Ovis aries: one gene and its partner. The protein of the gene in region 2 purifies or fractionates together with the protein of the main gene of each other region. This does not show direct contact. Links are inferred from orthologs where the notes say so. Each region holds a gene or a part of one and is shown on either strand. Other genes may lie near its edges.

Region 1 (7,535 bases), on a different chromosome or scaffold from region 2:
GAAGCAAATGAGGTTCAAGAACAATAAATCAATCCACACCTGTAATATTCTCCTGTGTATGTAAAAATGTCTTTATTTAGGCAAGGGCACACACAAAAAAACACCTCTAAATCTATGAAAAGAAACATGTATGTGTGAAGAGAAGTGTGTGTCCACAACATGAAATGTACTATTCATCTGTAGTATCTACTCAATAACTTCTCCCCACCTTTTACTAAAAAAAATCTCAATTTTCCCTTACAGAATTATCCCTCCACCAATATAATTTGAACAGGAATACAATGAACATGCCTCTCAAGTGACCCAAACTCTAGTAGGATTCTCTATTAGGAATTTGAATAAATAAATAGTTGGAGCCGTTTTACTGACAGTACCACTTTGAAGAAACTTACTTCATGCTACCTAGACAAATTGAAGTGTATTCTTTCTCTCCATAAAACCTGGTTATTCAGCTCTTCCTATTGATTCTGATCATACTTTCTATTGCCTGTAATCAAGAAACATCTTGTAATATATTCACTTTGTGGGAACTAGGTATAAGTATAGAGAGCTCCCCCAAACAATATTTACTTTACAAAGGAGTGAAAGTAGAGAACGGAATCTAAGTAGGTGCCTTCCAAAACAATCACTAGCTTACCGAAACCTATAACTGACTATTTCAATAAGACTTCTTGCCAGTGCCAATACACAAACCAAAATTTATTACCAATCCATGAAAACAAAAATCCACAAAGGAAGAACTTAACTCACTAGAACTACAGTCACCTTACTGGGGTCTCTCACTGTTATGTGACTGTAACACTTAAAATCTATTACAACTCTTTCATCCAATCATTTCACTTACAGAGTTTTTCTAAGGGTCACTTCTTTTTCTTTATTCTATATTATTTTTCTAATTTGAAAAGCATCATTTTTTTACCCGAATAAAAATTTCCAATTCAGTTTTTCTTCTTTTTTCGATTTTCTCTGCTTCAATCTGGCAAGTGTGACAAATGTACAGATGGTTGACAGCTGGTCCTCCTCCATACCTAAGGCATGAAGAATATTAATAATTATGATAATTTGGAAGAAAGCTGATCTAGGAAATGTATCCAAGTTTTCATAAAATGTAAAAACTAAATTATTGTGAGGACTTGATTTTATGCTTTTCAGGGTCAATGATTATATCAGTTTATTGATTTGTCTGCTTTATCTATATTTGAACTTTCTCTTACAGCTACTTTTGTTACAAAATGTTTGGGGCAACAATAACATACAATAAAAGAAGTAGCTGTCAAAAATTAGCATGTTTATATGTTTATAAATCTTAAGTTATACACAGCCACAGTTTTAATCAAGTTTTAATCAGAAGGAGACTTCCCCTGTCCACTCAAGTAGGAATTCATGAAATGAATTATTTTCAATGTATTTTAAGAAATGTATTAGGGGATTGTGTGAAATATTTTTAAATAAAATTTAAAACTTTAGAGAGTTAAATATCACAGCATACCTTTATAGATGGACGATCAGAACAGAAAAATTGGAATTAATTATCTAGATCAGGGCCACTCTAGCTACAAGTCTCTCCAGTCATGCTTCAGCATGAATAAATGAAGGAAAAAGGGAATATTCTACATAAGCAACATACAGCACAAGGAGCACATACAAAATAACCAATCTCTCTTTAACAAATTTCATAAGCTGATTTTCACAATATCATACTGATTAAAAAAAACAAACCTGCTATATAGGTTATCCCAAATGTTCTGAGGCAGCATCAAAACCAAGTCTTCAATATAACCAGCTTTTCGTGGAGGAACACCTAGAAAAGTTTAAAATGAATCTGTCTCGTTCCTTTTGTTAATTTTAACTGATTAATTCTTAGCATTTTTTCAGTTATTATTCTTAAAAAATCTCCCCAAGAGGTAGAAAATTAAGTATAAACATATGTTCCTGAAGATATATTTTCTCTTGAAATATAGAGTAAGTTAACCAAGATGTTCAGGTATTTAACTTACATAAATCTTTACTAAGCATTGACTATGTATTGGGGCAAACCAGAGATAAATCAGAGACAATCTTTTCTTCATGGAGCTTATAATCCAGAAGAAGAAATGAAGAATTTACATGAGTAACCAAAATAAAAGGCAGGCACAGATAAATGCCTTAAGAGGATTATAGGGAGATTCTGAACAGGAAGAGACTTAAGTTAATAGCTCAAGTGGGAGAAAGTAATAAGAGAAAAATTTCACATACAGAAATATTTTCAAAGTTTAGATTTCTAAATCCAATACAGGACATTTCTACTATCTCTTGAGGTTTCACTGCAAAAATAATTAACAAATGAGAATAACAAGTCTTCGACCATGAAATTTAATTAAAAGTGTCACACTAAGGTATTATTTGTCATGGGAACAGGCAGTAACACAGTCAGTCACAAAGGCAGAAGTTATATTTAGCAAATAACTGCATGAGGTTTTTTTTGTTGTTGTTAAATTCCAAGTACATTTTTTTGGTTAGGAAAAGAGCCAGCTATTCATTTAGACAAAAGGGATAAGAGCCATGGATACGGTTGGAGCTGGATGTCTCTCAGCTGAGAAAAATGATGAGCAATAGAAGCGATCCGTGTACCTTAATCAGGTATTTATGCATCTGTCTTTACTATGAAACTGGAGCTTTGAGAACAGAAACAGTGTTTCTGGTATTTTTAGACTCTAGCACAGCATTTGGAAATGGTACCCAATAAATATTAATATCTATTCTATGAAGAGGCTATAGATTACCCATACTTATAAGAAAAAACTAATTTCTGAGACGACAGTAAATTAAATACATTTATGTTGGAATGTAGATGGGAAATGGAAAATAAATGGAAGAGGAAAATCCTTGGCTCTTGCCTTATTTGTAAATTATTTAATAGAAACTTCCTACTACTACCTTTCATTAGAGTTTCTTACCTCCATGAATACAGAGAAAATCATTATTTGAAATAGGGCCAGGTTCAGCAAAGGTCTTAAATTTATTTAGCCACTGTCGAGAAATATAAAACTGAAGGAGACTTGGTTCCATTATGTTCAACAAATTTGATATTCTTCGCCTCTCTTTTTGTGCTTCTTCACTGCTCTTCCTATTAAGGACAATGATTCATTATATTCAATAAGCATTTTACTCCATTAGGCTAGTAAAATGGATTTTTCCACTTCCTTATTAGATTTTGCATACACACTAAAAGAGTTATCTTTCCATGTCCATGGGGGACTGGTTCCAGGAACCCTGCAGATACCAAAGCCTTATATAAAATGGTGTAGCATTTGCATGTAACCTGTGCATATCCTCTCATATACATTAAATTACTTCCAGATTACATAATATCTAATATAATATAAATGTTATGCAAACATTAGTATATAGGGCATAAATGGTAGCTAGTTACTGGTGAGCAATTTCAAGTTTTGCTTTTTGGAACTTTCTGGAATCTTTCCCTCCCCAATATTTCTTATCTGCCATTGGCTGACTCCTCAGATGCAAAACCCATGCACATGGAAGGTGGACTGTATTGTGAATCTTATTAGGTCTTAAAAATTATTCATAGGAAATATATTGTACTTTGCTCCCTGCCTCCCCCACTACATTATAACCCTAGAGGTGATATCTAGGTGATAACTACTGGTATCCACATAACTACTGTTAGAAAACAGACATTCAAATGATTGCTAACAAGACAGTAGCTTGTACAATCTTTTAGAGGATACTGTAAAGTATATTATATTAATACCTCCTTTATTGGCTATGTTAGGAGAAAATTTGATATTTAGTTCCTACTATCAGTGCTTAATTTTTAAAAGTAAAACAAATGTTTCTAAAACAAAACATAACCCTTTGCCCCTCAACTAAATGATTTAACATTTTCTTAACAAAAGATCATTCTACACACAAACCTTCACTTTTACTCACATAATGAGAGTAAAACAATTTCTAATCTTTACTCAGCAATCCACTTTGAAAGTCTTAGAAGTCACGATTAACCTCAATATGAGATGCTTTGTCATCTTTGTCAAAACAGCCTACTCATGAGTTAGTACCTCACCTGTAGAAGAGAACATAAGCTTCTGCATTTTGTACAGTAGACTCTGAAACTTCAGTGACACTCTGGTCGTCAAATTCATACCAGAGATTATTTAGATTGTTTCGGCAGTAGGCAATATAGTGTCCACCTGAATTCAGGCAGATAAAATTTAAATTATTTCAGTGATATAAAATTAACACAAGAATGGAAGATAAAACTAGTTTTGTAGCCTCAGTTCCTATCTAGCAGAGATACAGCAAGAACTAACCTATTTTTTCCAGTAGGTACCCTTACAACCATCATTGGAGGAAATCAAAATTATAACAAAGAATGCAATCTTAAAAAAAAAAGTATAAAATAATCATGTTAAAATCCTTACTATTTATCTTAACACAAAATGTATTTCTACTATTTTAAACATGAGAGTAAAATTATTCAAATTCTTAAAATTTCTGACATTTTAAAAACCAAAATAAAATAATTAATAAAAATCTTTTACATTTTTTTTTTTGTTCAATCAGGCTTTGTTTGAGATCAACTCAGATGTTTCTTTTTTTAATGCAAAATCGTATGTCAAACTTGGATACTTACTACTTGCAGTTCCATGGTGACAAATGACTGACAGAAGATCATAGTTAACAATTTGCGCTGGACTATCTTTAGCTAGAAATGGTTGAAGATCCAGGCCTTCCAGTGGAAATGAAACATGGGTACTGATTTTGGTGGAAAACATCAGTTCATGTCTGAATCTTTTAAGATGGATGCACAAAATCTTTTTAAAAGAGAAAGGTAGGATTATTTCAAAATTTCTTGTTCTAGATAAAGGAGTCTATTAAATATACTTATTGTCAAGATTAAACATAATCATCCAATTCTTAATCATCCAATTAACATTCCAGAGATGTTAAAATGTGGAAATCCCGAAATGTGGTACTTCATAACTCCATAGCTACTGGTTTTTCCAATTTTACACTTTATACCTGCAAGACCCTACAATGTCTGATTAAACTGTGTTTAATACAGTTTTATTTACTGCTAGGGGCACTTACTTGATATGCAATCCAGTATTTTTAAAATGGATAATCATAATGGGTATACATAGCAATTGGTCAATAGGACCACTTCAATCTTCAACAAATGCTAAACTATTCACTGCACTGGGTTACATTAAAGCTTTACCTACCGCATAAAATAAAATGAACTGTCATAAAGCCCATACCTCAGGAAACTTTTGTACTTTACAAAACTTCACTCCATTTCTCAACCTAAGGGGTAAAAAGGGAAAATCAATTTTAATAAAACTGTTTCCCACACAAATCTACAAAACCTTTAGCATTTTCAAATATACAGCAAAATCTTTTAGAAAATGCAGAGACAAAGGTATCAAACTAAAAACGCTTACTACTGAATTATATGCTACCAATTAAAAACATACTAATAAAACACTGGAATCACTTTCTGTAAAAAATTATTTAAATTAAGATAAAACTTCAGAGTTATGTAATTCTTTGATGAAAAATCTACTGTCTGTGGTCTGGCTATGCCTTTACAACATTCATGTTATCAGCTGAAACTAGGTAAAATAAAATCCTAGTTTTATAGAATTGGTTGGTCAGGTCAATATATAACCTTTATTCTTTTGTTTTTTTTTTGTAAAAATATATCTATTTACTTGGTTACACCAGGTTTTAGTTGCAGCATGTGGAATCTTTTATTAATAGGCCCCCTCCATTGGGAGCATGGAGTCTCAGCCACTTGACCACCAGGGAAGTCCCTACAACCTTTACCCCTGAATGTGGAAATTAATAACTTGAGATAAATAAAGAATGACTATTATTAATAATAAATTTTTTTTATTTTGCCATATCACATGGCTGGTAGGATCTTAGTTTCCCAATCAGGGATCAAACATGGGTCCTTGACAGTGAAAGCACAGAGTCTTAACTACTAGTTCAGTTTAGTTCAGTCGCTCAGTTATGTCCGACTCTTTGCGACCCCATGAATCGCAGCACACCAGGCCTCCTTGTCCATCACCAACTCCTGGAGTTCACTCAAACTTGCATCCATTGAGTTGGTGATGCCATCCAGCCATCTCATCCTCTGTCATCCCCTTCTCCTGCCCCCAATCCTTCCAGCATGAGAGTCTTTTCCAATGAGTCAACTCTTCGCATGAGGTGGCCAAAGTACTGGAGTTTCAGCTTTAGCATCATTCCTTCCAAAGAAATCGCAGGGCTGATCTCCTTCAGAATGGACTGGCTGGATCTCCTTGCAGTCCATGGGACTCTCAAGAGTCTTCTCCAACATCACAGTTCAAAAGCATCAATTCTTTGGCGCTCAGCTTTCTTCACAGTCTAACTCTCACATCCATACATGACTACTGGAAAAACCATAGCCTTGACTAGACGGACCTTTGTTGGCAAAGTAATGTCTCTGCTTTTCAATATGCTATCTAGGTTGGTCATTAACTTTTCTTCCAAGGAGTAAGCGTCTTTTAATTTCATGGCTGCAATCACCATCTGCAGTGATTTTGGAGCCCAAAAAAATAAAGTCTGACACTGTTTCCACTCTTTCCTCATCTATTTCCCATGAAGTGATGGGACCAGATGCCATGATTTTCATTTTCTGAATGTTGAGCTTTAAGCCATCATTTTCACTCTCCTCTTTCATGTTCAAGAGGCTTTTTAGTTCCTCTTCACTTTCTGCCATAAGGGTGGTGTCATCTGCATATCTGAGGTGACTGGTATTTCTCCCAGCAATCTTGATTCCAGCTTGTGTTTCTCATGATGTACTCTGCATAGAAGTTAAATAAGCAAGGTGACAGTGTACAGCCTTGACGTACTCCTTTTCCTATTTGGAACCAGTCTGTTGCTCCATGTCCAGTTCTAATTGTTGCTTCCTGACCTGCATATAGGTTTCTCAAGAGGCAGGTTAGGTGGTCTGGTAGTCCCATCTCTTCCACAATTTTCCACAGTTTATTGTGATCCACACAGTCAAAGGCTTTGGCTTAGTCAATAAAGCAGAAATAGATGTTTTTCTGGAACTCTCTTGCTTTTTCGATGATCCAGTGGATGTTGGCAATTTGATCTCTGGTTCCTCTGCCTTTTCTAAAACCAGCTTGAACATCTGGAAGTTCACGGTTCACGTATTGCTACTAGAGTGCCAGAGAATTCCCAATAATCAATATTAACATATACTTGACAGATCTCAGGGCTTCCTTGGTGGCTCAGAGGTTAAAGCATCCGCCTGAAGTGTGGGAGACCCAGGTTCGATCCCTTGGTGGGGAAGATCCCCTGGAGAAGGAAATGGCAACCCACTCCAGTATTCTTGCCTGGAGAATCCCATGTACTTAGAAGCCTGGTGGGCTATAGTCCATGGGGTCGCAAAGAGTCAGACACAACAGAGCAACTTCATTTTCACTGACAGATCTCTACTTAGATTTTGGATTCTGGGGTGGATGCAAGTCCTTTTCCATCTTCACTATTACCTTTTT
Region 2 (7,210 bases):
ATGCTTTCTCTTCCAAGTCCAAGATCCCATGAGGCTATGAGGAGTGTGAAGATTAACTGGAGAAGCTGCCTGCATCTCTGAGTGCAGGGGCCAGAGCAGAAGAAGAATGTGATAATAGGTATGAAAGCCCTTGGAGAAAGAGCAGAAGTGCTGAATGGCACACACTCTCCAAAGCCTGATGGCATGTTCTAGAAACACAGGCAGCTAACTTTCTCTTGAGATGTCAGGGCTCGCCTGGAAACACCCCATCACTGAGCTGATGAGAAGCAGAGGAGACTAATGCTTTTTTTGCTTGGGCACCCTGGCTGGGATAGAAGAGAAGAAAGAAATAGAGTGAGCTTTGTAAGTGAGTGAAATGGCAACGAACCCTGCAGGCTGAACCTCTCCTGGCTGGCGCTGCCAAGGAGGACGATCCACTCCGTCAAACCTGGGCCAAGCTCTGGCTCAAACACACAGGCAAAAATAGAAAGGGGGTGGGAAAAGAAATGTGTTTACTTTCATGATTTTCCCTTACGTCCCTCTTAACACTATTATAATCTCTCCACAAACAGGCAGTAATGGCTCAGAGTCCTCACCTTCATTGATAAACCCTCCCAAACAATTCACGTCTCACAGTCAGTCTGTGGGCAGCTGGTGAATAAGCTTGGAAGGCAGTGTGATGAAGTAGAACACTGGCCCAGGGTCTGTCACTAACTGAGAAAACTGAAAAATGCCTCTCTGGTGCTCTGCAAAATAAAGTGGTTATAATAGGTAGAATCTAAACATCTGCTTAGAGTTTTGAAGTTTATAACTGGTTCTCAACCAGGGACAATTTCATCCCTCAAGGTAGGGGTATCTGGCAGTGACTGGAGAACATTTCTGGTTGTCACAGCTCAGGGGATGCTCCTGGCATCTCATGGGTAGAGACCAGGGCTGCTGCTGAACATCTGACAATGTGGAGGACAGTCTTCCACAGTGGAGAATTATCTGGCTGAAAATGTTAAAAGTACGAGGTTGAGAAATCTTGATTTGTCCTGAAGTGACTAGAGTCACAGGGAGAGGGGGCAAAGAAGGACAGCAGTTCAAAAGGAGGAGGGTTCAACCCTGTTTCTAGATCATGAGGTATTCACCAGTGACATGTTTTCCAGCTTTTCTCCCTATAACCCATGACTTTTTCATTTCCCTTGGAATTTCAGGGCTATGTTTGAGCAGCTTTTTCACAAGAGCTTCCTTATCCTCAAAATGCCAAGCCCTGATGCAGTATGATCTCTACTATAAGAAAAGACAAGGATAAAAATATAAGCAGCTGCAAAGCAAGTAGAACTGGAAGGTGGGCAGCAGAGGCACATGGAGGCACACAACAGATGCCCATAACTCCAGTTCTATGAGTCAGTGTTTCTGATGTTACAACACAGGAATAATGCTCGTAGGAAGAGCAAGATGAGCTGTGCTGGGTGAGCACACGGCGAAAGAACCGATGTGGGAGCAGCAGCGTTAGAAGAGACGCAGGTTTGCAGCGGCAGATTCAAAGGCAAACGAAAGGGTTAAGCAATCGGTGCGTGTCATTCCACATTAAGTCACTGGGCAGTTATTGCAAATAGTTACCTGCAGTTTCCAGTGGGGGAGGCAAGCACACTCCAGTCAAGGGGTTTTGGAGAAACAGGTGCAATGAAGTCATGGTCAAACAATTTATTTACTGTAAACTTTAGACTTTGCTCAGAAAAACAACCAAAGCTGCCCCTCAAGTCCCTGCCTACAACACCCCGTTTGAGCAAATAAGAGGGGCGAGGAGAGTCCATGTTCACAGCGAAAGGTCCGAGAGACTCAATATCTTCCAGTCCAAGGGTGCAGGAAGGAAGGTCTCCTTCAGATACAAATTACCAGCAGCAATATATTACCCCTAATACTTGATCAATGAGGTAGATATGCAGGAAAAGTCATCAAAACATAGCAGCCCCAGGTTCTTTGAGACTGAAGCCCTTCAGACATAAACTTAACGAGTTCCAGGCAAAGAGGAACTGAACTGTACAAGAAACAGTTACTCAAATATATTTTGTCACAACTTAAAAAAATAAAAAATAAAAAGGCAGAAGGATATGTTTCCTCCTGCACATCTCTGTACAACTTTATTCTAAATTTATTACACTCAAGTTAAATAGTCTGTTTAGTGTTTTGTTGCAGGGAACCGGGGAGAAGGGGTGTCTTAAAAAGTAGAAAAACCTGCATTACAGCAGTGAGTCATTTGTACTACAATTCCTCCCTTGTGAATCAGTGCTATCACTGGGCACAGTACCTTGCTGGTTCACAAAGTTTTCGGTGCCTGGGGGGTCTTCACACAGCAGTTCACTGTCTTTCTCCTCCCCCAGGTGATATCCACTCTGTTCCCCCGTGTAGTCAGTCCTGTCATTGCTGGTGCTGGAGCAGCCATTCCCATAGGCCTTCAATGAAGACCTGCGCAGGCAGAGAAGCTCCTGGAAGGCAATCCTGAAATCTGGGCTCCGGCAGTAGATAAGGGGATTGAAAGCGGAGTTGATGTAGCCCAACCAGTTTAGAAGGATGTAAATTTCCTTAGGGATGAGGTTATCCTGGATCACGTGCACAATGTTGACAATGAAGAAGGGCAGCCAGCATAGGGTGAAAGTGCCCATGATAATGCCTAAAGTCTTGAGGGCTTTGTGTTCCTTCAAGTAGAACTTGGATGTCCTGCGTTGTCCTAGACCGCTCCGCCCATCCTGCTCCACTTGACTGACGTTTTGGGCATGGAAGCGGCCCTCAGATTTGTCGATCTTCTGGAGCTGCCTTTTGGCTACCTGGAACACCCTGGAGTAGACAAAGACCATGACCACCAGGGGAAGGTAGAAGGACACAATGGAGGAGGCAATGGCATAGGGTTGGTTCGTGAAGAAGTCACAGCAGGTTTCCTTAGCATAGCACTTGATAGCTTCCTTGTGGCTGGCCCGGTACCAGTGCATCTGAATGGGTAAGAAAGAGGTAAGGCCAGACACGATCCACACCATCAAAATGACCACCCGGGCCTTATTCTTGGTCAGCAGGCACTGATACTTGAAGGGTGACGTGATGGCAAAGTAGCGATCCACAGCGATCACGCACAGGGTCTCAATGCTGGCCGTGACGCACAACACGTCAATGGAAGTCCAAAACTCACACCAGAAGTTGCCAAAAGTCCACATTTTCATGAGGATGTGGCAGGCCCCAAAGGGCACCACTGCCAGGCCCATGACCAGGTCAGCACAGGCCAGGGAGGTGATGAAGTAGTTGGTGACCGTCTGCAGACGCTCAAACTTGGCAATGGCTGTGATGACTAGCACGTTTCCAAACACGATGGCCAGGACAATAAGCGACATGAGGATGCCCATGCCCACCACCCAGGCCTCGTCCCGTTCCAGCGTGCCGTCTTGGTCCGGCGCGTGGCTTGCGTTGGGCGCCAGCAAAAAGACGCTGCGGTTCCCGGGCTGCCCCATGGCGCGCAGGCTGGCAGGTGAGCGCACAGGCTGCCGGCGCACCAGCCGCCCTCAGCGAGCGGACCTCCGGCGGGGCGCTGCGGGCAGCAAGCGAGCACCTGGAAGACTCATTCAGCGGCCGTGGGTGGGTGCGGGTGTGGTAGGGGTGCGTGGTGCACTCAGCTCCGGGGGTACTCTGGACTCGCAGTGCCGGGCAGTTTCAGCCAGTTCCAGCTTGCGCTCTGGAGAAGCCGTCTCTGAGTGCGCGCTGTCCGTTATGTGACCAGGACTTTAGGGGAACTGCCCTCCCCGTGACGTGCTAGAACTTTCAACCAATAGAACGCGGGAAGCCCCAAAGGGGCGAGGCCCACGCCCTCTCCCGCCCCTTCCCTCCCCTCTCCTGCCTGCTCCTGGGGCTGGCCCGGGCGGGACCCAGCTGCTCTAGCAGGGCGGGTCGGCCACCATTCCCTCGGGGCTCCCTCGGCTGGCCCCGGAGGCTGAAGCCGGCTCTAGCGAGCTTACCAGCCAGCTAGAAGGTGCCGGTTCTTTGGTGGGCGCTACCTGTCTGCCTGGGGCGGCTGTGCGGCTTGAGGTCTCAGGGCAGATGGCAATACTCCGGCACTTCCTCGCATTAGATGAGCGTGCCCACCGAGACACGCACAGGCAGGCACATTGTACCCCGACATACATGCTCAGACTTATACGGAACCACAGCCACAGACACTCAGACACACCCATCCAGCGCACCAACGAGTGCTCAGGCACAGAAGCCGACTGGCACAATCACCCCTGTCCAGCACGATCGACATGGCCAGGAGCAAACCAGGAGCACCCAGAAGCATAAAGACACCGACATACAGACAAAAAGAAGTAAACAAACGGCATACAAACGCCCACTTGGAGGCAAGCAGTGTGCCACAGAGAAGGACTTCCCCATCCGGATATTCCAAACTCTTTACCCTTGCCCCCTGGACATCCCCCCCATCTTCCCCAATACACAGGTCTCATGGCATATTCCCTTTCAGACATTTGGCAAGACCACAGGTGGTGACTTTAACAGCAGCCAACTTCCTCAGCATGCTTGCTGTCCAGTACTTTTGGTGCCCTCCTTGGAAATTTGCAGGGATTGAGACCTAATTTTACTCTTGGGATTTCATTTGGAGCTGGGGTATACGTGTATGTGCTTGGGGATAGGAAGAGAAGGTTGTATGCTTTAATTCTTAATTCTAGGGAGTGTGGCATTGTTCCTTCCTTATCTGTTAAAATGAGAATATGTTGAAAATGAAATAATTTTCAAGTTCAACTTCTTCAATAATCCCTTTGCAACGAGAAAAATCTTCTGTTGGGTAGTTTGTTGATCTGTTGGGCTGAGCCGTATGAAATTGCCACTTTTCTGTAGTATCTGACTTTAAATAGATGACAATTTCATATGGCTCAGATTATAAGAAGGTGTTAACATTAAGAAATGTTTTGAAACCACAGAAAGCAAAAGATAACTTCTCTTAAAAAAACTAGAGTCTTTGTCCATGAAATACTATCCATTGCATCTGGCATATGAATTTACTGTTTAAAAAATTAATTGTCAGGGTTTGATTTCACATGTATCATTTGTGTCTTTGAAAAATGGAAAGTATTTCATGCAGTGTAACTGAACATATTTTCTAGATTACATAATAACATAACAATGGCTAACATTTATGGAACGTTCTGCTATGTGCTTTTCATGCATTATTCCATTTAATCCTTCCCACAGTCCCATGGTGTGTGTTGTTAGGGTGGGGTAGGGTATAACTATTTTTAGCTTAATTCACAAAGGGGTCTCAAAGAAGAAAATAACTTGCCCATGGGCACAAGACCAGGCAGTGCCAAAAGCAGGAGCTGAACCCAGTCCTGTTTGACTCTAAAATCCATCTTTTAATCCTTTCAATGTACTGTGTCACCACAGTGCAGAAAGGAATAGAGGATGGGGAAGAAGGACCGCAACTGGAATTGGAATACCAGGTTTCAAATTCTCATCTTAGAACTTTCTAGCTTATATTCCTTAGGCAAATAAAAAATGTGGAGTCTAATTTCCTCCGTATCTAAATGAGGAATAAAGTCACTTCCATTGTGCTGAATGAGAATCAGATGATATAATGACAAAGGTAATTATGATTTGCACTTAATAAATGCCACACAAATGAAGGTTATACATAAATTTATATAAATTACTTAGTAGTTTAGAAGATATTGTTAGTATTCTCTAATAGAACACTAAAATGCTTTAGGACAAAAGCAACATGGACATTTACACAAGAAGTATAACTCAGAAACAAAATTTAAACTACATGCTCTTTTTAACTTTCCTCACTAGCAGAAATTGTTTTTGCATGACAGATGCCTTAAAATAACAAATATTTCCCATAAAAGCCACACATATTAATTAAGAATCTATTATGTTCGCATAGTTTTCAAAATATACCCATCCCATATTTGTGTTTTCCAAAATTGGCTCTGGTATGATGCATTTTAGGAAGAGGCAGTGTGCATTATGCAATTATGCAATATTTCTTTAAATATATATCTACCCCAAATTGTGAAACTGAGCCATTTAAAGCCTCCTTCCTGTTTGTGAAGCTATGAAGTAAATAAGCATATTGTTTAACCGTCTTATAACAATAAAAGAACAAAGAAAGCCCTTATAGGGCAAACATTAATTGATCATTTAGATATACACGTAAATCACTTAAAATTTTAATGTTGATTATTTTGGGAAGCACCTTTTAAAAAAACCCACAAACACTAAATCCAGAAGGGAGGCTGCTTATGTCAACAAAGTTCCAGGCCTTTTCCTCATCAGCTTTGCCAAATGGGCAACCCTCTCTCAATCTCTTCCCCTTTCTTTTTCTTGTATCACTGTGGCTGATAGAAATTTCAAACTGTCTTCATGCCAGGAGTCTTTTACCTGACCTCCCTTTTAGAATTATAAGATTAAAGACAGTTAAAATGGAAAAGAGTTTAATAGATCACTTATTCTCTCCACGCTTCCAGTTTGAAAATTAGGAAAGTGTCTGGTCGAAGGTGGCACGGAAGATTGGGAGTCCAGGTCTGTTCCTGGTCTCACATGTTTTCACTGCCCAACATTGTAGCTTCATTTCCCAGTGGAGGAGTGTGACTAGCACTGCTTACTGGGCTTGTGGTCTTAGAGAGTTAAGGTTTTAGTTGAACTGGAAAGTTCTAAATGTACCTTTGTTAGATGTAAGGAAAAGCAGGCTCTTTTATGGTGATTGATAGTGTCTAACTACGTATTTTGTCAATCCCTTAAGACTCTGATTTGTCGTTTCCTGCCTGCCAAACAGGAAAAAAAGTCACAGTTTGATTTACCAAACAAATGTTTAAAGAGGAGTAAGGCTCTGTGAGCCAAGGAATGCTCTCACATGAATATCTGGATGCTTTAGGAAAATCTTAGACTGGTCTTGGCTTAGGCAAGATTATTTCCATTTTTTAAAACACTTATTTTTGTTGTTGAGGTGTAATTGATATATAACACATCAGTTTCAAGTGTACAATGTAATGATTCAGTAGTTGTATTCATTGTGAAGTAATCACCTTAGTAAGTCTTGTTACCATCCATCAACATGCATTAAGAGTTAACTTTTAGGATTTGTTCTCTTGGCAACTTTCAAGTATGCTCTACAGTATTACGGACTGCAGTCACCATGCTGTACGTTACATCCCCATGACTTATTTATTTTATAATTAGAAGTGTGTACCTCTTGACCCCCTTCACC

The links. Proteins that work in one complex are often made in the same cells at the same time.
Region 1: the proteins of ADRB2 (region 2) and USP33 purify together in Homo sapiens (affinity purification with western blotting; 3 studies listed by BioGRID and IntAct, with this or other methods). This does not show direct contact. The link is inferred for Ovis aries from reciprocal best matches to the Homo sapiens genes ADRB2 and USP33.

Annotation. Positions count from the first base shown.
Region 1 is NC_056054.1:54,170,735-54,178,269, forward strand, and holds part of USP33 (ubiquitin carboxyl-terminal hydrolase 33), read right to left. Parts: intron 5,311-7,535; coding exon 5,265-5,310; intron 4,818-5,264; coding exon 4,637-4,817; intron 4,194-4,636; coding exon 4,067-4,193; intron 3,107-4,066; coding exon 2,937-3,106; intron 1,802-2,936; coding exon 1,720-1,801; intron 1,029-1,719; coding exon 920-1,028; intron 1-919. UniProt on the Homo sapiens protein: Deubiquitinating enzyme involved in various processes such as centrosome duplication, cellular migration and beta-2 adrenergic receptor/ADRB2 recycling.
Region 2 is NC_056058.1:58,013,576-58,020,785, reverse strand, and holds ADRB2 (beta-2 adrenergic receptor), read right to left. Parts: upstream 3,462-7,210; coding exon 2,205-3,461; downstream 1-2,204. UniProt on the Homo sapiens protein: Beta-adrenergic receptors mediate the catecholamine-induced activation of adenylate cyclase through the action of G proteins. The beta-2-adrenergic receptor binds epinephrine with an approximately 30-fold greater affinity than it does norepinephrine.